4 linked regions of the Drosophila melanogaster genome follow. The protein of the gene in region 4 interacts with the protein of the main gene of each other region in a pairwise test. Each region holds a gene or a part of one and is shown on either strand. Other genes may lie near its edges.

Region 1 (5,309 bases), 7.2 Mb from region 4:
ACGCCAATTATCCCTTCACAATATACCCTCCGATGGCGACTGCTTATATCAGTCCATCAGACACCAACTTATCGTAAATGCTCTTCCAGGTAATGCTTCACGATTCAGTCCACACAGCACCAAAACTAATCCATAATAATTGCACCAAAGGTCACAGTGTTCAGGAGTTGCGGGAGGAAACTGCCAATTATGTGCGTGCTCACAAGGACTCGCTTATCTCATACATGATCCACCCGGAAACAGGAGACATTCTGAACGACCAACAATTCGAACAATACTGCCACGACATAGCAAAAACTCACGCTTGGGGTGGCCACATAGAACTGAAGGCCATCTCATCGCTACTCCGGGTGCCCATTGAAGTTATCCAAGCGGAAGGAGCACCGACGCTCCTGGGGCAAGAGGAATTCGGTGGATCACCGCTGATCATCTGCTACCACCGCCACATATACCAATTGGGTGCCCACTACAATTCCACGGTGCCAGCAGCCTAAACGGGAAATGCCCAATGGCATTTACCATCAACTCACTCGATTTTGTAACAGATTGTTTTATTACATATTATGTTGACTTTATAAATACGTATGCATTTGGAAGATTTGAATTATTGTCAAAAATTGCAAGTATGTAGTAGTTATATACAATAATAGTCAATATAATAACAATTCTAGGTTAGCTAGCAACTTAGTTAGCTGGATTTGTTCTAAGAAAATATTTCCTATATAGAAAAATAATTCGTTTAGCTCAAATTTAGTTTTCTTGTGGCGGTTTAGTGTAAATTCAAGCAATAATTTGATTATTCCTCAAAGCCTAGCTACTTATTACTTGGTAATGTTGTTGCAACAACCCATTATTTGTCCTTTTTTCTAGGTAAAGCGTTCGATTTCAATTATTTGTCCTTCTTGCTGTCCTTGGGCTTCTCGGCAGCCGGTTTGTTGGGATAAATAGCGAACATGGAGAGCTGAATGCCGCCCAGGACCAGCAGCAAAAGGTTCTGCAGCTGAAATAGAAGAATTTTCGGTTCAAATTTACATTCTCGTTTAATAGAATTAATTGCTAACTTACCACCATCACAGTATTCTTGATGGAGATGGCATACAGCGTCCAGGAAAATGCCACCAGATTACCGGCAAAGATAATCGGGAACGGCATTCCCTCGGTGCTCTTCTTCTCAATGATTTTCGGCAGATGCAGCAGGGGAGAGCCCACCATCCAAACCAGGATGCCGGTGATCAGCATTCCCAGGCGGAACTCAATCTTGGCGGGATCCTCGAAGTTGGCATACGCGGTGATGGCCAATAGGAACACCGAGGAATAGCCAATCTGCTTCCAGATCTTGCTCCTGCTGGCGCTCGAGGCGTAGTAGTAAAATCCGAAGAGGAAGACGAAGTTTATCACCAGGCCGATTAAATTCGTATTGATCATGGCAGCATCATTCATAATGTTGGCCAGCTTCAAGCTGAGAACGGTCCTAGAAAGTTCAACAATTTGTTAATTAGTTACTTTAATTTAGGACAAAATTTGGTTTTTATATTTAAACAAAAATGTAATACTGTTACCATTCATATTCATTTTAAAATATTCTTCAATATAAGGCTGGAAATTTTATAAATTCCAGTTAACTTGTAGATAAGAGCATAGTTTTCTGAGGATATTATAATTAATTCAAATTAATTGACCCTGCCCGAACCAGTTTTCCAGCAGTAAGTCGCTACAGAAAGTTCGAATCAAGAGAAATGGAACTAGTTTTCATTTAAAGTGCTCCAGTCTACCACTTCATTGAAAAAAAAAACCAGTTTACACTTATTAATTGCGTTATCAGATTCTATACTAGGTGGAGATAGATAAATAAGCATAATAGGGCCGGCGTGCAAATCATGGTACACGTAGCATTTGATAAGGAGCTCAACGCTCAACAAATAATCAGCATTATCATCGATCAACCTATAAACAAACCCACAACAATGGTGAAATACACCCGGGCTGGGCGAAATGAAATGCAAACTGGCCGAGGAACCTGCCCTTGACCGAGACCTCGAGCGCCCATTGGGTGGAGTGGAATTCGTTTAGCATACAACTGTTGCTTCGCTTGCATGTCTGCGGGTCCTTACACTTGACACAGTCCAAGTTAACACCTTCCGGAAAACCACCCCCAAGTAAGCCCCGGCGCAGTGATGGCACACTCACTTGATGGTACTCATTCACTTGCTGCCATATGGCACTTTATGATCTTTTGAGATGTTCAAAACAAACAGTGGAAAGTTTACGATTTAAAAATAAAAAGGTAAATTCCTCGAGAGTTCATCTACATTTAGTGCTTTAGCCAGCAGGAATTTGGAATTGTTTAAAGAAATGTATTATTACGGAAACTATAGTTAAAAAAATATTATGTTTTGCTAAGCAAACACTATTATTCATATGCAGTAATGGACAAGCCTTACGGCTATAATTAGAGAAGATTATATTTATAGATGACAAGATATTCCCATCACCACCACTGGGTGGCCCACCCCCTTTGGAATCTGGGCAGCCCCGCTTTATGCCGAGCACGTGGAGAGGGCGAGTCGCGTATCTTTCGCCCGTCGTATAAACGATTAGCGGCTCTCCCAGATTTGGACAGACTCTACCGGATCAGCATTCGTAATAGAGGAGCTCTAAAATTATACACTCTAGATAAGAGCTACGTGTTTGGAGGGTTCTCGCATCGATAAGGCGGCAAAAGTGCTGCTGGCGGATTTTCGACAAGGTTAACGATTTCGAAATGTAACGGTCGCGGATGATCGAAGTGTAATTCCCATTTGGCCAACGCAGTGATGTAATCGATTCCATTGTTATCTTCTTGAATTGTGTGCAAAACCGATTCACTGGCGGCCTTGAAGAGACTCGATTCTGTGCTGTCATGGCGACAGTTCTAAAATTTAATCAATTCCCACACAGATGCGTTGGCTTTTGTTCTTTTCACTCGCTTTTCCTGCCCCCTGCCCACTAGTTTTTTTTTCGATGTCGCATGCAGTGGAGCATCACGGAATCCCAATTAGGTTACTTACAGCACCACTCCGAAGAGAAATGGGCCCACCGGGTAGACGTCGCTGCTACCCTTCTTGCGGATGTCGTTCATCAGAACCACTCCGGACAGAAATTGCAGGGTAGTTATGGTGCCGGCTACCTTGGCGATTAGTTCGCTGTGTGGCGCCAAGAGATCCCCCAGTGCCTCCATGATTTCAATGACTCTCAGTTGATGCCTTTCAAACGGGTTATGTGGGAACGGGAGGGGGGCCGAGTGCCGCGCGAGTATAAACAAATGAACGAAAACAAAAACTAACGACCGACTGGCGGCTGCCGTAACAACAAACGAACAAATACTGAGCACCAACGGTGGGGCTGGCAACCTTTTATAATCGAGAATCCCCTAGAAATGGACGCGTCTCTCCGATTTTCCCCAAACGTTATCGCCCGCGAGGGCTTATCGGATACGAATTGAATTTCAAATTTCCGCGAAACGTTGCTGCATGGCAAAGCAAATGAGTTTTCTCTCTAGAGCAACAGGAGAGTATTCCTTAGAACTTATCAACATCTTCTTTCTTCTAGTATCACTGAATTAAAGCCAAACAATAGTTTAAACTAAGCAAATTCACTGATAACTTCGGTTTGACTTGACCAAACTGAAAGTCACTTGAGAACAATGATAGAAAGTGAGAAACTCAATTGAGATTAGGCTTCTTAATATATACATACATAGTCTCCTTACAAAAATCAATTTTATTCAAACTTATCCAACTACAGTCGTTAGCAATCATCCTCACACCTCCTCCTTCAGCACATGCTTCTTTTTCTCGCTGACGTAGGGCACCTTCTTGCTCTTCTTGGTGTGCTTGCGCACATTGGCCTCCTTGACCTGCTCCTTCTCCTTGACCGTGCGCATCTTCTTCTGTGCATTGAGCACGTGACGCGGCACCTGGCGATGGCGCGCGATGCGCTTGATCTGCGGATGAGCGGCATACTTTTGCTTCAGCGCCTCCTGGTAATTGAAATTGACGCGCTCACGTGGACGGATGACGCCCAGCTTTTCGGAGGCATTCGCCTTCCACATGCGGACGTTCATTTCGTCGGAGCCGGAGAAAACGTATCGATTATCGAGGGACCAGGCCACGCAGACCACATGCTGCATGCGTTTTGTGTGGTAAATATCCCGCGAGTGACTGTGGTGGGCATTGTAGATCCGAATGGTCTTGTCGTAGCTGGCCGAGACGAATTCCTTGCCAGTGGGCGAGTAGTCAACATCGGTGACAGCGGAAACATGGTCAAAGTGAACCTTCAGCGGCGTTTGCAGCTTGCGAGTGTCAAAGGTATAAAGGCTGTAAGAAATAAAGATTTTAGCAACACATCCTCTTCGTATGGCCGTTTTACTCACTTGCAATCCTCGTTGGCCACTGTGAAGTTGAACGCCTCCATGGGATTCCACGCGAGCTTGTTGCTCTTCATGGTTAGGACGACCTTCCTTAGTGGCTGCGCCTCTCTCTGATCGTACAGGATAATGCTGCGATCGCTGGCACAGCACGCCAGGATGCTTGTTTCCACGGGGTTATAGGATATGGTGTGAAGGGTATCGACGCCCCACTTCAATGTCTTCAAAGGATCGTTGTGCCTTTCGTCCCAAATGGCGCATACCTCGCCACAGGTGGCGAACTTGTTATCCCTGCGATTGTGCGAGATGCCGTGCAGTCCAAATTTACTCAGTATAGTGTTCACCGGCACCTCATCCTCGCCGACTTCCGGAGCCTCTGCTTTCCAAACCTTGATGGTTTTATCATCTCCCACGGTGAAAATGCGACCTCCGTTCTGGGTGTAAGCAATGCCGCGAACGAAACCGTCGTGGGCCACAAAGTTCCGAGAGCTGATACGATTCGCCAAGTCCCAAATGCGCACTTCGCCGTCATAGGCGCCGGTGGCCAAGGTGGAAAGTTGCTTGGGATGCTTTCCGAAGCAGGAGACTCCATCGCGATGCCCGCTCAAATTGCAGACGAAGGGTTTGGCAAATACTCGATCCAACTTGGTGGCATTCAGGGCACGCACGTATTCCCTGGGACCCTCCAAAGGATGCAGCGAAGGATCGTAGTTCCTGGGCACTGAAAGTGGCATTCTTATAATACTTTGGTCTTTCTTCGTATATGAACTTACTTTTGTGCTGTTGCAGTTTGGTTTCTCGGACATAGTTATCCGGATTGCGACTAATCATTTTCACCTTCATCCTGATTGCATTTATTAAGCTTTTCTGCGGCGTAAAATAAAATTAATCGTGAGTTTCGAAC
Region 2 (5,471 bases), on a different chromosome or scaffold from region 4:
GTTTAAGGGCTAATCCAAAGCAGGCAAATATATAGTCGGTGGGCTTATCCCACTTTCCTCTCTTCAAGTCGGGGGAAAAGGGTTTGTGCCCACTATCATACGATGTTTCATATATCATTTTGTGACGTTAGTATAGCCCGGTAAATTGTGTGAGCAAAGGAATTTGAAAAACTTTTGTATAAAAAGAAATATATCCAATTTCACACGCCGATGGAGGTACTTATTATTAAAAGCTTTGGCAAACAACAAACATTTCGCGAGCGTTTTAAATTGACGAACTAATTAGTAGCAGCGATGCGGACGAACTAAATCCGATTCCGCTGATAAACCGCAGTGTAGCTGATTCCACTGGACTGAGATGCTCATAGCCTATCCCGGACCATTCACACTAGATCGGCCATCAAATACACTTTTAAGAAATAATGTTAAGCATAATTTTTTGAATAAATAGTCGGTATTACTTTGTAATACTATGTAATGTGAACAAGTTCAAACAGACAGTAAGAAGATCCCTAATAATTTAATGTAATATGATGTATATTAATTTGGATATGTTAAAACAAACATCTCAATGAAACTAATACCGTTCCTAAAAGTAGTGAGTCACCGAAGTGGCATTCTGAAATTAAAAGGCATTTCTATACACTAACATGACGTCAATAAGAGTACTTTGCTTATAACCATAATTAATCAATAACTACATTAATAATTACACGTTTTTAAAAGCTCTCTCTCTCTCTCGATAGACAAACTATGTAAGCATTATAATTGTGGACGTCACAGATTTTTTAAGCTCAACTTTATTAACTTTTCCGAGATATCTACGTTTCTCTGGACAGTCACACGTGTGAACCTGATCGATTCAGGTGAGATAAACGCTGTAAAACCCATTGCTGTAAGCATAGTGCAATAAGTGTAGCATTTCCACCTTTCACAATATGATTGTATATATATGCATACCTTTTTTTAAATACGCATTAAAATTACTCATATATTTATATTTAGTACATTTCTAAGTGCATCAGTAACTAGTTGACCTCCTCAGTAACCTCGAAGAGTTGGTGGGTCATCTCCGTGTTGTCCACAGCTTCCTCGTACTGCTGGCGGTGCTCCATCTCAACCGGATACCAATCGGTGGGTCGGCAGGTGCGTTTAAAGCGTTCGCAAAAGGTGCCCGTGCTCTGGTAGAGGTAGTAAAATCCATATCCAGGAATGGCCAGAATGGGCAAAACCACGAGGACAATTGACATCACGAAGACCACTGTTGTGGAATAAGAGTGCTCCGATATGGACAGAGCAATTCCCGCGAGCTAGTTAGTTAAAAGAATATGATTATTCAAAGCAACAAGCAACTAACTAACTAACTAACCAGACAAATGACTAAAATTATTGGAGCTATAAAGCGGAGTATGAAAACCTTCCAGGAGGCAAAGGGCTGGCCCAACATGAACTCAATATCTCGCTGGAATCGTTCGCGACCATAGATCCACAAAACCACCAAAAGGAGCAGTAAGTGCAGCAAACTATGTGAGAAAATGGCATCAAGACCCAAGGCCGAAAAGAAAATAATGCCATGCTAGAAACGGAAAATTGTTTAAAATATTTCTTAATAATATATCTTTTTTGTGTAAACTTAAGTACTTACATTGGTGCAAAAGTAAAAGGAGCAGAGTGCAATACCTCCAATTAGCCCAAAGGTCACCTCTTGTTTTCTCACTCTAAGTACTTCGAACTCATCAAACAAACTTTGCAAAACCGTGAAGATTTGCGTCGTCTGAAAATAAAATTATTTAAGTTTAGTAGCGTGAAAAATAAAAATTAATTGTGTAGATTATCATCACCATCACAATTAGAGCAGCAATTAAAAGCATAGAATAGTATATAAAAGTCCATAGGTTTGGCCAAGCCATTGTGGACAAGGCAGAAGCACTTGACAAATATAGCAGCCAATGGCTCAAAACATGTCCGTTATCATCAACATCGGATAGTTCTGAAAGGGATAACTTCAATACAGTAAAGATATTGCAAATCTATAAAGTGCTATTACCATTAAAGTAGTGTTCCAGCATAAAGGAAACCATGCCAAACATGATATAAATGAAGATCTGTCCAAAGGAAATAATCCAACTATACGACATGATGTCAGTCTTGAAACCGTTGAAACTGGACAGAGTTATTACACTGCCCCAACCAGCTCCGAATGCATGAAGAACCATGATGAATGTGGACACTACTCCCATGGCCATGTCACTTGCCTTTGGAGTCACATATCTGTGGAGCCCGTTAAGAGCTCCCGGAAGGAACAGGAATCGCACAAAGCACACTAAAAGAAGAACCAGGGTAACAATCACCATGTAGCGTATAAGTTTTCCAAACTTGGCCGTCTCTGAGAATTTATAAAAAATAAATGCAATCACAACCCAAATGATTGCGAATAGGCCAACAAAATGCCAAGACAACTCGTAATCCTTATACCAATCCGGAACCGCATCCTGTTGCATGCTATCATAGTGATTTCTGTAAACATAGAGTTAAAAAGAAATTATTTTTAAACAATTCTTAAAATAATATTAAAATATTTGCATTGGATTAATTAGGTAATGTTTTATTGCTATATAAATAGGAGCACTTACTGAAAATAGAGCACGGATGGTACATGGAGCAGCTGGTGAGATCTGTTGTATTCCGAAAAGTCCTCCAAGATCAGTGTCTTATTACAAGACTTAAATATAAAAAATGTACTTAGTCTTCAATTCAATTTAGTCATACACAAATTTCATACACTAGATAGCGTTGCACTTCCATTGTGCCAAGAACTCAAGCCCTCACAGCTCCAAGGTAAAGTGGGTCGAAATGAGTTTATTATGAACAGAAGTGGAACCGCAGCAAAAATGCTATAGTAAATTAGCATGGAGATAGTTAAAAATCCACTCACATATCCCATGCCTGAAATTGATATTTCGATCAATATTTAATATCTGTTTAAACTTCTCGGTTACGTACGTACCTTTAAAGAAAGGCGACAGGCGAAAGGCGGAGATGAATCCACTGCTGGAGAACTGACCCATGAAGGAGTGAATGACCATGATGGGAACCAAGTAAATGGACATATATACAAAGTACGGCAGTATTCCAAGAACTGGTCCAAGCAAATAGTGTATTTAAATAAATGCATTCAAAGATAAAGATTAAATTCTGATGTATAAACTGTTATCTCTTGTGCTGTATAAAGAGACACAATTATTACATTAAATACATAAATATCGACAGAATTAGGCATTGTTTTGTATGTATGTCAGATGAGAAGGTAAGAGAACATTAGCAGAGCACCGCCCCTCCACAGATTAGTCTAAATCCGAACCTTATCAGCAATATAATATACGTAGTCGCCCTTGCGTTACTTACTGCCCATGTCGAAGAACATCCAAAACGATGCCACAAAGACATCCAACTTCAAGGCTAATCCAAAGCAGGCGAACATAAAGTCCGTTGGCTTATCCCATTTTCCTCGATTCAGATCGGGGGAAAAGGGTTTATGCCCGGTATCATACGATGTTTCATATACCATGTTGAACTACCCACAATATTACCGCCAAAATGTGGGCGAGAATGGATTTAAGCAAATTTTGTAAATAAGTATATATAACTACGATCTAATTTTACACTCCCGCAGAGGTAATATTAGTATATATATATTTTTTTTCTGCAACCGATCCGCGAGCGTTTTACTCTAAATTGACGGACTAATTAGTAGAACCGATGCCGGCAAACTGAATCCGATTCCGACAGCAGGCCTCTGTTTAGCTCATCCCTCTTGAATGAGATACCCCAACTTAGGCGATGCACACTTGGTCTTTAATCACACAGTTATTACTATGGAAGTGGGGTATCTTTATACCGAGATTCATTTGAAACCTCCCTCTAATTTCAAACAGATCTGTTGTCAAAATAAAGATATGCTAGGAAAATATATATCTAAGCGAGTTATCTATAGTTTCAAGCTTTCGGTTATCAAAATAATTGTAAATTTGTTATTACACGTTTTGTAAGTGTATTTCCGATCTCGACCATAAATTTGCATTTATTGTTATTTTGCTTTAAATTCAGATTATTAGAGCTCTTATATCTGTGCCTGTCTCTCTTATGTGCGCCTATCGTCGTGCATTGCCAAGTTCATTTCGATTTTGGAACTGGAAACTGATATGGTCGTGCTCGGGAAATGGGATGACAAACAAGACAGCCGCAAAGTTATCAAATCTGGGGGAAAACTCAGACAGCAATGCAAAAGCAAGTAAACCCCATAACGCCCTGGCTGTTGATTTCAATAACGCATTGATAATGTCTTAATATTTGTTTTTTCTTATGTTTGTTTGTTATTAGCGATTAGTTTTAGGTAATAATATACAATTACCTCATATATTTTTCAAACTATTATTATTTTGCATGCATTTAAAAACATGCTTCTAACAATCTACTCTAAACGTCATATATTCTATAACTAAAATTCCAAAATTATTATTATTATTAGTGCGACATTAAATAGTTTAAAGTGCTGACAGCCGTATATCATAAATTTAACTCTTTTCCTTATACGTTTACCAACTTCAAAAAAAGACTTCAACATTTTCAATGCCTAAAAGGTAAAATTTTATTAGTTCATAACAATATTTTTGGCCGAAGCTTGTTGAACATTTTAGTAGGAAACTACTAAATATCACCAGTATATTGTTCACTATAGCTAGCTTTTGGAAAATATCAGTACAACTTCATTACAACAACTAACAATCGCCATTGCCAATGGATCCGCTTATTTATATACTAGTGTGCGTGTTTGTTATTGTATTTTTTGCATGTGTGAATGTGACCGCATATGGGTGTATAATAAAAGTGAGTTCAGTTCAGTTCATTTGTCAAGTGACGACGCTGTAAGTATTGAGTTTTGATCTAGGGAGTATTCGATATTTAGGCACTATGTGGTGTTGGCATTGGCATCTATAACCAGCATCTCCGAGATGCCCATGATTTCCTCGTAGAATCGCCGGTTGTCCGCATCCACCGGATGCCAGTCATGTGGTGCGAGGCACTGTTGCAATCGCTGGCGCCAATCGCCATTCGTCCGACATACCTTGTAAACCATATAAGATATGGCCGTTAGGAGAATCAAGCCCTGACTCACATAAATCAGGACATCGTGTATGCGATCACGCGTAAATAAATAGGTTAGTTGAAACTGCAAGAAATTCCAATAATATCAGTCATTAACTATATACAAATAATTTTATAATAATAACCACTACTCACCAGACACAGTCCCAGAAAAATGGGCGTGGCAAAGCGTATAAAGAAAATTTTGAAACTTGAGATCGTTTTGCCTAACATAAACTGCAAGTCGCACTGGAAACGAACGCGTCCATAAACCCAAGTGGTCATCAGCACAAGGATTCCCGAAATAAGCAAGTGTGTAAACACTG
Region 3 (5,195 bases), on a different chromosome or scaffold from region 4:
AACTTAATCGGTCCGAAGTTTGGCCATCGCCGTCTAATGTGCTTCGCCAAACTTTTGGGTCCGGCTCAAAGGCAGTTGGCACCTCGGACCACTTTCAGTTATTTACGCAGCGTCGCCTGAACCTGACAATCAGCAGCAATTTGCCTCAGCGCCTGGGATCCGCACTCGAGTCCCATCCACATCCACATCCGCATCCGAATTCTTATTCTTATTCAGAAAGCATCCGATAAGCATAACAGTTGTCGTCGTGCCGCCGGCTTACACCTTGAAATCGGATTTTTAGGGTGGGTTCAGTGATGAGCAAATAAGCAAAAAAAGTTAAATTAAAAAAAGAAGTACGGTTATTTATCAAAATAATTTTAAAATATTATTATCAAAAAACTTTTAAATATTATTTTGGAGTAATTTTTCTAATTAGATACATATCAGGTCATATTTTATGCCTTTCCAACCGGGAATGGTATTTTTCCATTAGCTGAATGGGTTTGAAATAAGCAAGAAAAAGGATATATTGGCACCTCTGGTGGGTTCGGTGGTTTCAGTGGGTGGCTGGGCGTCTGGCGGCGGTGCGCTGCTGCCAACAAATCGTCGCCAGATGGTGGCGACAATAAAACGTTTTACAATGTAACCAAGGCGACGACAAGGAGCAGGATCCGTGTGGCCATGTGTGGACAACAATGTGCAACAAAGTTCATAATTGTTTATGGCGACGGCTTCGATTTGATTTTTATGTCTTCAGGACTTGGGGCAGTGATTGAGTGTTGGTCTCAGGCCACAACCAAGGGGAAAAATGTTATAACCTCTAGCATTCAACTGTTGTAAAGAAACCTTAGAGTTTTTACATGCACCCGAAATTCAATTAAACAATTGTAAAGTAATATATTTAATGGTAACTCACAACTAGTCGTTTCACATACTTTCGAAACCATTTAAAACTTAAGTACGTGCATGAAATGAAACTTTAAATTCACCCTCATGCATCCATGGAATCTAAAGGTATAACATTATGGCACATAAGTTGCTTTTCGTTTTCTATTTGGCTTAATGGCATAGAAACATTAGGGATGAAATTTCAGACTATAATATTCCCCAACCTGCGGGCCCCGAAACTCCCGCCAGTCCGTTGGCTTCATTATATTGAAACTTTGACGTCGTTATTTTGCATAATTTACAGCTCGCTTGAATGCAGCAGCCAAGTATATTTCTATAACTACGCCGGTGATGGGCGGAAAATGCGGGGGGAAACTGCGCGTGTCGGTTGTCAACGCTACCTTGGCACATGCGAAACGTGAACTTCGAGACATCGAGTTAATGATTCGCACTTGTTCGCCCCCGCCACGCCTCCTTTTTCGACGTTTATGAGGCAGTAATGAAGTTGATTTATTACATTACACGACTTCTCGGGATCTTCGATTTCTTCTTCAGCTCAACGCACAGAGCATTGAACTCTGCATAGAAAATAGATACGAAAATAGACGCATTGTGACTGCAGAAGTAGCCGGCTGAACTCAAACATCTGTTCCGCTAGTTCCGCCGGATCGAACCATTTCCTAGATGGCTATAAATAGATAATGTAACGCCCTAACTCCAATCTCAGACACGCGTCTGCGATCGTCAGCCGCGACTGAGGGCTAAATTTAGAATGTGGAGAAGTAGGGCCCGCCAGCCACCCAAAAACATTAGTGTGGAGCTCCAACTTCAGTTTCCTTAGGAGCGCCATGGAGTGCAGAGCTGTTCCCATTCTACCCACCTATTCTCAAGCCTGGTTCGTAGTGCACAGTTTTGGATTAGCAAATCTACTAGTTAGTTTTTATTCAACAGTGGTACTCCTATGCCCCGGAAAACGTCCCTCTGCCGTACACTCTTTGATTATGGTCCTCTAAACGATCCGGTGATCATACTCATAACACTGGCCGTCGTAGTTGGATCCTTTTGCCTGCTCAGCGGATTCATTTTACTGTGCGTTGTCTCAAAAGCCTGGCAGGATGAGACTTCCGAGGCCATTCTCCTAATGGGTGAGTAACAGTGCTATTGAATTGATTGTTCCTATGATGAACTTTGGGTTTATAGCGATTGGCTTCTTCATCACGGCTTTGTCCTGCGTATCGTGGAAATTGACGCGAGCTCAACGAATTTCCCAGTTAGTGGATGCCCTCAGCGTAGATAACCAAACCATTTAGCTTGAAAGTATCTAACGTAAGACATATGAAAACTACGAGCTTGCAATTAGTTGCAATATACCTGATAAACTCTAAAACGTTCAACATTAGGGGCTGTCCGAAGTAAGATTGGTCTTAAGTTGTTTTTCCTATTCGCTTATGTTAAAGTACATGAATTATCTTATCAATGTCACCTATTTAATAATCTTGTTTGCTTTATAATAATATAATAATAATAATATTTAATATTAATATTAAAATATTAACCGAGACTCCCTGGTTTCGGACTAACTTAATACATAAGTGGGCTAATCAACGTGCCACCGCACGCAAAGGATAACCTCTCATTCGGTTTTGAAAGATTCAATTGCAGCAAGGCCATCCAAAGTCGAGATCCCATTTGAATCTCGCTCCCTCCAGTTATCTTCTGATCCCCGAATTCTCCGCACGAACTCTCACTGGCAATCAGCACGAATTCCTCACAGCAAATGAATTTCTTTGAAAGATTGGAATATCAGCATATGTCGCTTTGTTAAATGACCACTCACTTTAGAATTTGAAAAACAAGGGGCATTCCTCTTTATTTCCAAGTCCTTGGCGGTCAGCTGGTCCTTTGGCTTCGAAACTATTTTCGCGATGCACTAACATTCTCTGTAGTGTAAGCATTTGCCTGGCTTCTGATCGTAGGTGGTGCAGTATGTTTGATCTTGGGGAGGGAAACATTACTACAGGTCACCCCTCATCTGCTGGCACTTACAGGGCTTCTCTGTTTGGTTTCCAAAGGGAACTGCTTGTCCGGATTGTTGACCAAGTTTAAGGCATATGACCAGGAGCAGCAATTGCAAAACCGTCATTGCGCCACCAAGCTCTGATATGAACTGAATGCAGAAGACAGTCAAACTTCAGAGGAATCTCTGTGGATTATCTGATTACAGGTAGCTTGATTGCATATTGCAGTGATTAAATTTACAGAGAAACAAATAATGCTGCAGTGCAGGATAGAGAACATTAAATATTTATTTTAAATATAAAAAAGGGTGAAGAATGAATGCGTTGATACCATTTCTGTTAATATCTTTGTTTTCGGCTAACATAATTGTATCTTAAAGCTGAATTTTTACTGAATTAAGAGAAGATTTGCTCATCAGTCATATTACTAGCATAAAGAGGTTTTCGGTTAGATACACATCTAAAGAGTAAACCATATTGCGAATTGTAGGTAACAAGAATTTGATCCTCACTCCATCCTGCTCTTAAGGACATGACCTACCCCTGGGCATCTGGAGGCGCAAAGAAAATGCAGCTGCTTGCGCCCCTACCTGAGATCAAATAGTCCTTGATCCTCAGTCCGAAACGAGAACTCATCGAGAGATGCCACACTTGCAGAACATCGAGCGGGATTTTCCCCTTAACTGGACCTTGAATCCCATTCGGATCTCTAGTAGTCTCGCCGCAAATACTCTTTCCTTATATCGAAAGATCTCGCAAAACATGTGGCGCAGTTGTATTCAATTTTGCCATAGTCCCAAGTTCCAGCAATATGTTAGGTAAGTTTGGATACAATGATATTAGATATACATATAAAAAAATGTCCCTCCCTATATCGATTCTTCCAGATTCCTCGAGTCCAGTCTCTGTCAGTTTTAAAGAGCAATGATCCAAGAAAATGCGTCGTCGCCTCGTCTTCAAAACAGATTGCTTTTGATTTGCAATCTTGGCACGTTGACGATGCCAAAATTTGTTAGTTGAATTCATTATAGCGATACGCAGAGAGTCAGTCAACGATCTCGTTCCGAGAGGGGGGTTTCGCTTTGTTGTTTCAGAGTTCTGAAATACAACAATTTGTGGCATTGTAAAGTGCTCGTAACGCGATTGGGTTTGGGGCATTTCCAAGTCGGCGGCTGGGAAACTACCCTTGCCGCAGCAATTCCACCATCCAACCTTCAGTAGGGGGAAAACACCTCGCTTGGAGCTGCAATAAATTCCGGTCGCTATCAAGACGAGCGTTCAGTAACGTTTCAAAGCCAGACGCGCTAAGATTGCTAATTCCAAAGCTTCGACCAGTCGACGAGCATCAGAACATGGAGCACATTCGATTTGTTGACAAAGTCTTTAGAGCCCTGATCGCCGGCACCCTGCTGCTCCTGATGACCGCCATTTACCGGGAGGACAACAACTCCGGATCCCACTACATCCATCCAAGACACGCCATGCAGTAGCTCCATCGTGGTCTACTAAGATCGATTCAACCTAGTCCGATGCAATCGAATCTCTCGAAAGTGCGGCACAAAAACCGGTTGTGTATATTGCCGGCTCGACGACATATCGCCATATCAACTAACTGCACAAATAATGTTATGTTATATGTTAATAATGTTAATGTTAAGAAACATGTGTAATTATCTATAGCTCATCCCATCGTAACTAATCTAACTTATGTGCTATAATGTTAATACTTAGAAATTAGTTTTAGTGTGAAAATATAATATAAAATGCAATGTATATGAACACAACCATTTTGCTCAACTTGCAGATAACATGGGATCGGGAGGGCTCTGAAATATCGATTAGCAAGAGCTATTCGCACTCTTTGCAAAACAGGTTGCAATTTCATGCGATCCGAACTTGTTTATAGAAAACATTTTTAATGGGCCAATTTCAAACGACTTTAGCACGAATTTCTTTCTTTATCCGTGGCATACTCTAGAAGCTGACCTTAGCTAATATAAGCAATCACGTTTTGCTTATTGGAACAAGTGTTTTGAGCAAATTAAATTTCCGTGCAAAAGAGCTACAAGTGATATGAAGAACATTGGTACATACGACTAAGTTTTGCGGTATTTCAGTATTTTAAAATTGTTTTAATAAATAAATAAAAAATTACTAGAAAATGTATTATCAAAACTAAAAAATGTTTAATTATTTAAACATTACACAATGCATTTAAACAATTTTTCAATCTACATACATATCCTCCTAATTTTACATCACCAACGCTTAGCATGGTTTTCAACCAACAATGTAAGATCGAATCTT
Region 4 (7,844 bases):
GGTAGCAGGATATACATATAAAATTTTGACACAACATAAGCATTAAATACAAAATGACTGAAAGTATGCACTACATATATAGCACGTATTAAACGTGTAAAAATTGGGTACCAATGTAGATTTTCAAAAGTTTAAGCGCACGAACATTATTTGACAATTACCTTACAAGTTATTCCTAAAGCACAATCTTTTAGAACAACAATTGTTGTTTCAGTTTTAAATTTAGTACCTGGCCTTGACCAGTAAAAAGATCCCATGAAATGTAAAATTTCCAGATTACATTTTTTGATGCTACACTGTAGGACGGAGGGTCATTAATATAATAATAATTTTCGCATTATTTGAAGTTTCCTCTTCTCTTCAGGTGCTGAGCATGAGACCGCCACTGTGTCTTTGTGCCGAAGACGTGGAATTTGCCCTGGAGACACTGGAGGAAGCGTTTAAATTTCATATGAGCAAGAGCCCTCGCAGTTGGAGAAACAGCACAATGATGATGTAGAAAAGTTGTACTTTAGAGCTCATTTATTTGCTTATTCGCTTACAAACTAATAATTGAACAACATTATAGAGCAGCATTATGACCAACAATCGAGTCTTCGAGCTAGCGGTCTTTGAGCGAGGCTTTGACTTATTTATAAATGTACATCTCAGGAATTCTTAGAAGTAATGTGTGATGTGAAGCATGACACACCCTCATACAGTTTTAGGGAACGAGTGTGATTTGAATCCGTATCTGCTAAGGCTAGCTTAATGTTTGGTTTCAATGGCATTGCCTTGAGCATAAATAAATAAAACAACTCGAAAACCGCCTTAGTTTGAACTAGGTAATGCAAAAACGCAGTCTTCTGTTAAAGTCCAGGAGATTCTCTTTGGCTGGGGGTCCTGTAGGACTCCGTTCCCCAAGTGGCTCCTGTTAAACTTGTACGTCGGGATGCTTGCCCTCGTTATTGTAATCAGCGCTCAGCAACGTCTCAGACAGCTCCTTTCTGGCCTTCTGCAATACCCAGAACATCAAGGCCACGCCGCAAATTACCTTAAAGACACAAAAGACACATTGTGGATTAAATAACTTAAGATAAAACAAGATAATTAAACAAAGAGCTTGTGGACTTATTAAACAGCAATAATGAAGCAATTCAAATGTACAAACTCAAAAACTATTAGGCATATGATCTAAGAAGAGGTCAATTGCGATCCAAAGCGAACATACCTCAAACAGGAAGCTGATATACCCCGTCAGTTTGGTATCGTTATCACTGAGCACTTCATGCATGGACCTTAGCGTGGAACCCAAGTAAACATTGATGGTTTGGGCTGGCAGCAAACCAATCAGCGTGGCCACATGGTAGTCTCTTGTGTTGATGGAACTGATCTGTGAAAATAATAGTGTGATATAGAAACTAAATGGTTTAAGCGTGCCATGATTTAGCACCTAATTTTTAAGGAAAACTGGTTTTTGTTCAGTTTAACTGCATAGAAACTTGACGAATATGCACATATATTAGGTATACAACGTAACCGTCTCTGTATTATTCGTATAATTAGCTATTTAAATATTGCAGTATAAATAATTATTCATATAGATTCACAAAGCTTTGCAAAATTTTATTTACATGTCAGTGTGACGAATATTTGGTCCATTTTCAATTTGTTCCATTTAATTTTACGTTCGAATTCTTAAAGTTAATAAATAAAATTCTTGAAGTGACAAATTGGCAAACAATAAGAGAATATCTAGATATTTCGAACTCGCCCTTTTCTGAACAACAAGTTCAAGAATAACAATAGATCTGACAAAATCTAGTCACTTACTCCGAATATCACATTCTGCACTCCGAAGGGAATGGGGGTAAGTCGGGTAAAGAGAACGACTCGAAATGCCTTTGGGCCAGAAATGACGCGAAGAATGGCTCGTCCCGTATCATTCTTGATCAGCCTGCAAATAGATGCAATCGAACGGGTCTCATCACTTAATTTATTAAGTATACATATGTACATATATACATAATTACACCCAACTACTGACTCTAATTGAGTTTATCCAACAATCAGGAAATGATTATTGGGGCTATCAGCCAGTTCCACCGTTCGTCGATGAAACAGTTTACGCTCCCTCATAAAAATTGGTAGGCATTGATTTCATGCTATCACACAAATAACCTTTAATTAGGTGTGCCTATTTGGTAAATGTGATGTTAAATAAATGTGTTATTTTTAAAGAAAATTCATAAGCCTCTGTAATTGATTAATTATGTCCGCTGGGTATTGGAACCTAGTTTAGTAATTGTCGGAAATTAAAAGCTTGCTGCTATCAGGCGCGACAAATGTCTGATAAGGAGATCAAAACCGACTGAGCGTTAAAGGGGGATTTACCCAATGAGGCGGGTTTTAATTGCAAACGGGTTTAATGACAAATGAGCGTTTAGTACCTATATACAAAACATACAACACATTTATATGTACCGGCGATGTGGATACGCGATATCGATTTTGCGGAATAACTGCCCTTATCAGATATTCCTTGGGCAAATGTATTTGCTCAGTCGCCGTCACCGTGGCTTTGCAATTGTCGTGTGTCACAAGATCCACTTTGATCACCGTCATTCCGCAATCTATGCGATCTGGTTCGGCTTGCAGGTAGACAGACTTCTATGTCCTGGGGCTCGCTGGGGCAGGCGGCGGTAAGTAGATCCACGGAGTAATCATCCCGGACGTGCAGGGTGTCGCCAAGCTGACAAAGAATGCCCCGGAACTCGGGGTAGGCCTGGCAGCAGTCATCGGGAATAGAGATTGACAGCCGCAGCGACATCACGTTTCCGGGAGCGAAGGGATAGTCAAGGAGTCTGCGACTGGTGTCTCGCTTTCCCAGACCCACGTGCGAGACCACGACTGGGGAGCAGTTGTACTTGCGAGCCAACTCCACTGTCTCGGCTGCACTGCTGACACCCTTAGGCAACACGCGGAGCTCCCTTAGGTGCCGAGCCAGAAGGATTAAATAGGCGGCGTGCAGTTCCAGAGGTGTGCGGACGGCACCCTCACATCCTGCGTACTGTATCAACGAGCACAGATCCCGACGCATGTCCAACAGCGCACCATAAATCATTTTCTGGGGCGGCGTGAATCGCCCCGAGCTGGGCCAGCATCTGGCCAGTCCCCCCTCGTAGCCTCCGTACTGACATCCAGCGTCCATCTGCCACAGCCCATTGCCATCCAATCCGCACGAAGTTTTTGTCACGTCGGGACGAGCGTGGCGCAAACGGCACTTGTAGTCAAATGAAGCGGCCAGCTCCTGAGGAATCTGATGATGCTGTGCGATTACCTCCGCCATGGAGTCCGCAGCGGTGGCGTTAGCCCGACGCAGGGCTCTCAGCTCCCGCGAGGTCTTGACGGTGCGTGTGTACTGGAGGATGTATCGGGGATTGCCCATAGGAATCTTGGCTTCATTAGCCACCTCTTGCACTATACAACTGACAGGACTCGATGGGTCGTAGAAGTGCCATAGCTCGGGCGAGTGATCCCTTAACAGCCAGAGTAAACTTTTCTTAAGCATTGCGAGGGGCAGAACGTCGTCCACGTAGTGCATATGGCTAAAAATGGTGGACAGCTGGGAGTCCACATCCTGGGAAAGAAAGAGCAACGCGCCAGTATTTCGCTTTCGGCTGCGGGTGAGAACCAATGCTGCCCCTGGTCTCAAGCAGTCGCAAAGATAGAGGAAGTCAGGCCTCTGCCGAAAGGGGTAACTCCGAGCTGAGTCAGCTCCGGCCACCACAAGAACGTGCGAAAATATGCGGTTTTTCCTGTGCGGCTCTTTGAATGCGTCCTTCGCGTGCATATAAGAATTAAGGTCGTCCAGGGACATTTTTCGGTGCAGATCAATTTCATCCGGCAGGAGAACTCCGTCGGGCCGTGGATCGCTGCGCAGGTACTCGGACATTGTGGCGAACTGTCCGCCAGGGGCATCGCAGGAGAACTTCTCGATCAGGTCGGGCACTGAGAGCGGGCGGATCCTCTTGGTAAGCTCGGAGGGCCAGACCGTTGGCAGCACCAGAAGCACATCACTCCTATCCGGTGGGGCCACTACGGAACAACCGCGACGCACCTCTTGCCAGGCATAATACTTAAAATTTCGAAGAAACCGCAGCATTGGAGAATACAAAAAGCACACAGAGCAATGGGTAATATAAGGGCTAGATACAAGAAAGCGAGACTTATGGAAGATAGGGTTCCCTGATCGCAATAAATTTAAATATGTACTACTCGTAAAATGGGCATATGGACTCTGTAGCACTTGTCAATACAAAGATCAGTTTTCCGCTTAAAAGTATTAAAAATATTAACGTTTTGTGCGTGACCACTGTTTCTTGATTATTGGAGAGATGAATTTATTATTTAAAAACTGAAATATTTTTTAAGAAGTGTAGAACAGGTTACTGCGTTTGTGATCGCGGCAATGACTTAAAACCAAATTGCGCGGATTAGTTTGTTAAATCACAACAGACAAACGGACAAATGGAATCGGTTGGAGATCTTTATCAAGGATACATAGACACAATTAATTATTTTCAACGGAGTGTACCTACAAGAGCAAAGCGCATGACTTTAGAAGATAGTACACCTAATTTTCAACAGTTGGGGATTTGTATGCGTAGTATTTAACACTACTCAACGAACAGATAAATAAACTCTGTATTTTCAACGGAGCTTCGATTTTTAGCTTTTTAAATTTTACGCTTTATGCCGCTTATGACGTGTAAAAGTGCACAAATTAGTTTCTGGAATATCGAAGCAGTTTTAAACTAAAGACGCATAAATATATGATTTTAAGAAGTCGATGAAGTGTCACCAGACGCGCAACTCACCTTTGGACGGGAATGCGGTGCCGGCAGCTGCGAATGGTGGCATGGGCCACGGCTATGCCGATATTGGCGCCCAGGATCACGGTGACCCAACCGCGCAGGCAGCCGAACAGGTAACCGGCGGTGATGAGCAGAACGAAGTAGCCCACCACCACGGGGAAGCTGACAAGAGCGAAGAGCCCCATGTAGACGGCAAATGTTATCCAGGCGTTCTGCATTTCGATCCAAAAGAGCAATTGGCGAGCATAGTCCCGCGTCGCCCATCCGATGAAGACGAGGGCGCCTAGAATGGTGGCGGGCACTAAGCAGCCCAGGTACCAGTTGCGGGTGAGAAAGCTGTGGGCTCGTCCCCAACACGAGTTGCGCTTCCGGTTGTGTAGCACAGAGGTGGTGGCGGAGGAGCGGGTAGCTCTCCGACTGGCTAGAAACGGGTCACATTCGCTGTCCTCCGACGTGTCCGGTGTGCGCTGGGCGGCGAAGAGAGCTTCGGAGTTGCCGGCAGCCCCCACAATGCTGTCTGGTGGATCCACCTCCACGGCGTTGGAACAGCTGGCCTGGATCAGCTGAGGGAAGGCGGGTGCGGTGGAGGCGGGCACTGGCTTCTGCATGATGCAGTTGGTATCATTGTTGTTCGAATAGCCGTACGTGGTTTTGTTTTTATAGTTGTTGTTATTGTTGCATGACATGACCAGGATTTTCTTTTGGCCACAGCTCTGCCTTTCTCCGTTTTCTTTTCCACTTGTCGCTGTGAAATTTCACTTTTATGCACCCACATTCGCGCAAATACAGAGTTCTGAGTTTACGGTCGCATGTGTGTGCTTTGTGTCACATATGGCAAGGCAACCGAGTCCCAGAAACCGTTGTTGTTATTGTCTTAATTCAATTAAAATTACGAATTGTATTTATTGTTTATATATGTGCCACAGCCGCTCAACAATCGACGTACGACTGCCCACTCGACGTTGACGTTCCGACTGGAACTTCGAGTTCCCGCAGCGAGAGTGAAAGAGAATGTGAGAGGACAGAGAGCGTGCAGTGCTGCGATTTTAGCATTTTTCTTTAGCCATACTATACGGACTGCTCCAGTTTCTTCTTCTTTAAAAATTAATTAATAATGTGATTTATATTATATTTATAAATTATTTCCTTTGTAGTTTTACCTAAAATGTATAATGATTGCTGTGTGAAATACATGCCTTTTCTCTCATCTTTTTCACTTAACAATTAGTTGCTATAAATTGTTTGTAGCCGTCGATGGTGTAGCATTGTATATCGATTAATTAGAAAAACTGAAAAAATGAGCTTGGTCCCACTAACCGAACAGCTGTATAGACGATATCAAATTAAGTAACAACAAATATAAATCATATACTGGAAAATATGTTGTGCCGGCGATCATTGTTGGGCGTAACGACAAAATGCCTAAGACTTTCGTCCACGCAGCAACACAGATCGGGTCAGCCGGAATGTGACCAAGCCATCGGCCTCTTGCCCGCCTACTCGGATGCAGATCGTTTGAAGATCTTGAAGACGATTAATGAAAGCAGCATGAATCAGATAGCCAAGTAGGTAGCCACTCCTGCACTTTGCCTTGCACAAATACTGATTATCCCGCCCAGCTACGACATAACCAAGGCAAGGGCAACCAAGCTGCAAAACTGGAAGAACCGTCACGGACCGCTGCAGGAACTCAGCGACATCCTGTATGTGGAGGGATTCGGACTGAAGGTGACCACCAAGTTCTTTAAGAGTCTGCTTGCGCCGCCGAGCAGTGGGAGCGCACAAGTAGGGGAAAATAGACCAAAGACTGCACGAGTCGCGCCCTTTATAACACCGGCCATGGACGAGGGACAGCGTTCACGTATTGTATCTGCTGTAGGGGTGCGCATCGGAGTGACCAGTGTAAGCTGGGCGCGATTAAAGATCGGAAGCAACGAAGCTCCCTGTCTGCTCACGCACTGGCAGCACCATGAGCTGAACGACAAGAAGCTGCATTTGTCAGAACTTTCCCGCCGATGCCTCTATGTATCTCACCAGATACCCGTGGCCGATTGCTACGTCATGGAGAGTCCACAAATGGCCCAGGCCAGCAGCAACCCAGGGAGCATCGATCAACAGAACGTGAACATCCAGAAGGCCCAGGTTTCCGCAATCATGAGCTTCTCCTTGATGGCCCGATCAGATGGCGACGAGAACAAGACGAACAACGTCTACTACATGCGACGTTTTCTCTCAGCCCGACTATTTAATCACATGGTGGGTACTGAGCGCGTGTCGTCCGAGGATACGATATTGGCCATGATGCGAACCCATTACAACGTGGAACATCAGATCCCCGAAACAGAGCCCCCGTTGAAGCTGCACAAACAGATCGACTTTCCCGCTGACCTACGCCTCGAATTCTCACAACAAGAGCGCTACCAGCGCGAGCTTCTAGGCCAGGCACTTCTCCTCAGCTTAGCCTTTACTCGTCTCGTGCTTCAGCAAGATCCGCAAAGCATTGCATCTGTATCTCGCAACTCTAAAAACTCCTCTCCAAGTCGAGCCACTTAAAAAGCTACAAGTGTAAGAATATGAACTCGACTCTTTTTGGCCTTTGCACTTTGTATTATAATGACCCGTTGAACAATTTTATGCACAATATTTAACAGGGGTTTTAATAGGAGCAGTTTCTAATGGCACAACTGCATTTCCATGGAATACCATAAACATAGATTATTTTGAGCTTGGCCCCACTTAGCTAATTAGAATTTGTCGCCATCAAAAATATCATGTCTTTCTTTCATTACTGCCCACATATTAGGTCTTAAAAATATTTATTTAGCAGAACTAAAATAAATAAATACTTGATGCTGGCCCTGTCCGTTTGAACGAATTTATTTTTAAATACAAGTAATAGTATTTGTACAGTTTAATGCGATAAGAAAATTATCTATAAGGAATCATTGTTTCTTAGTCCAATTGATAGACCAAAGTGGCTTATTTTTT

The links.
Region 1: the proteins of CG11367 (region 4) and CG7272 interact in a two-hybrid assay, tested with the Drosophila melanogaster proteins (one large-scale study listed by BioGRID).
Region 2: the proteins of CG11367 (region 4) and CG13795 interact in a two-hybrid assay, tested with the Drosophila melanogaster proteins (one large-scale study listed by BioGRID).
Region 3: the proteins of CG11367 (region 4) and CG30080 interact in a two-hybrid assay, tested with the Drosophila melanogaster proteins (one large-scale study listed by BioGRID).

The regions. Positions count from the first base shown.
Region 1 is NT_037436.4:15,498,999-15,504,307, reverse strand, and holds CG7272 (uncharacterized protein), read right to left. Parts: upstream 3,371-5,309; 5' UTR 3,218-3,370; coding exon 3,048-3,217; intron 1,472-3,047; coding exon 1,066-1,471; intron 1,001-1,065; coding exon 890-1,000; 3' UTR 539-889; downstream 1-538. Other genes in the region: CG7857 (uncharacterized protein), read left to right, coding at 1-89, 151-494; CG7275 (uncharacterized protein), read right to left, coding at 3,800-4,355, 4,412-5,126, 5,179-5,248.
Region 2 is NT_033779.5:7,722,528-7,727,998, forward strand, and holds CG13795 (uncharacterized protein), read right to left. Parts: upstream 3,772-5,471; 5' UTR 3,569-3,771; coding exon 3,406-3,568; intron 3,140-3,405; coding exon 3,008-3,139; intron 2,947-3,007; coding exon 2,783-2,946; intron 2,723-2,782; coding exon 2,634-2,722; intron 2,518-2,633; coding exon 2,048-2,517; intron 1,991-2,047; coding exon 1,842-1,990; intron 1,775-1,841; coding exon 1,646-1,774; intron 1,577-1,645; coding exon 1,370-1,576; intron 1,311-1,369; coding exon 1,029-1,310; 3' UTR 518-1,028; downstream 1-517. Other genes in the region: CG13794 (uncharacterized protein), read right to left, coding at 1-118; CG13796 (uncharacterized protein), read right to left, coding at 4,970-5,230, 5,302-5,471.
Region 3 is NT_033778.4:15,698,199-15,703,393, reverse strand, and holds CG30080 (uncharacterized protein), read left to right. Parts: upstream 1-1,697; 5' UTR 1,698-1,718; coding exon 1,719-1,765; intron 1,766-1,821; coding exon 1,822-2,015; intron 2,016-2,070; coding exon 2,071-2,180; 3' UTR 2,181-3,530; coding exon of another isoform or gene 3,531-3,706; intron 3,707-3,775; coding exon of another isoform or gene 3,776-3,806; 3' UTR 3,807-4,240; coding exon of another isoform or gene 4,241-4,378; 3' UTR 4,379-4,668; downstream 4,669-5,195. Other genes in the region: CG46433 (uncharacterized protein), read left to right, coding at 3,531-3,706, 3,776-3,806; CG42662 (uncharacterized protein), read left to right, coding at 4,241-4,378.
Region 4 is NT_037436.4:22,726,109-22,733,952, reverse strand, and holds CG11367 (uncharacterized protein), read right to left. Parts: upstream 5,843-7,844; 5' UTR 5,543-5,842; coding exon 4,860-5,542; intron 4,188-4,859; exon of another isoform or gene 4,145-4,187; coding exon of another isoform or gene 2,540-4,144; exon of another isoform or gene 2,353-2,539; intron 1,941-2,352; exon of another isoform or gene 1,937-1,940; coding exon 1,813-1,936; exon of another isoform or gene 1,373-1,812; coding exon 1,211-1,372; exon of another isoform or gene 1,034-1,210; coding exon 914-1,033; 3' UTR 507-913; downstream 1-506. Other genes in the region: CG11241 (uncharacterized protein), read left to right, coding at 365-499; CG32454 (uncharacterized protein), read right to left, coding at 2,540-4,144; CG14450 (uncharacterized protein), read left to right, coding at 6,237-6,421, 6,476-7,409; mael (maelstrom), read right to left, coding at 7,836-7,844.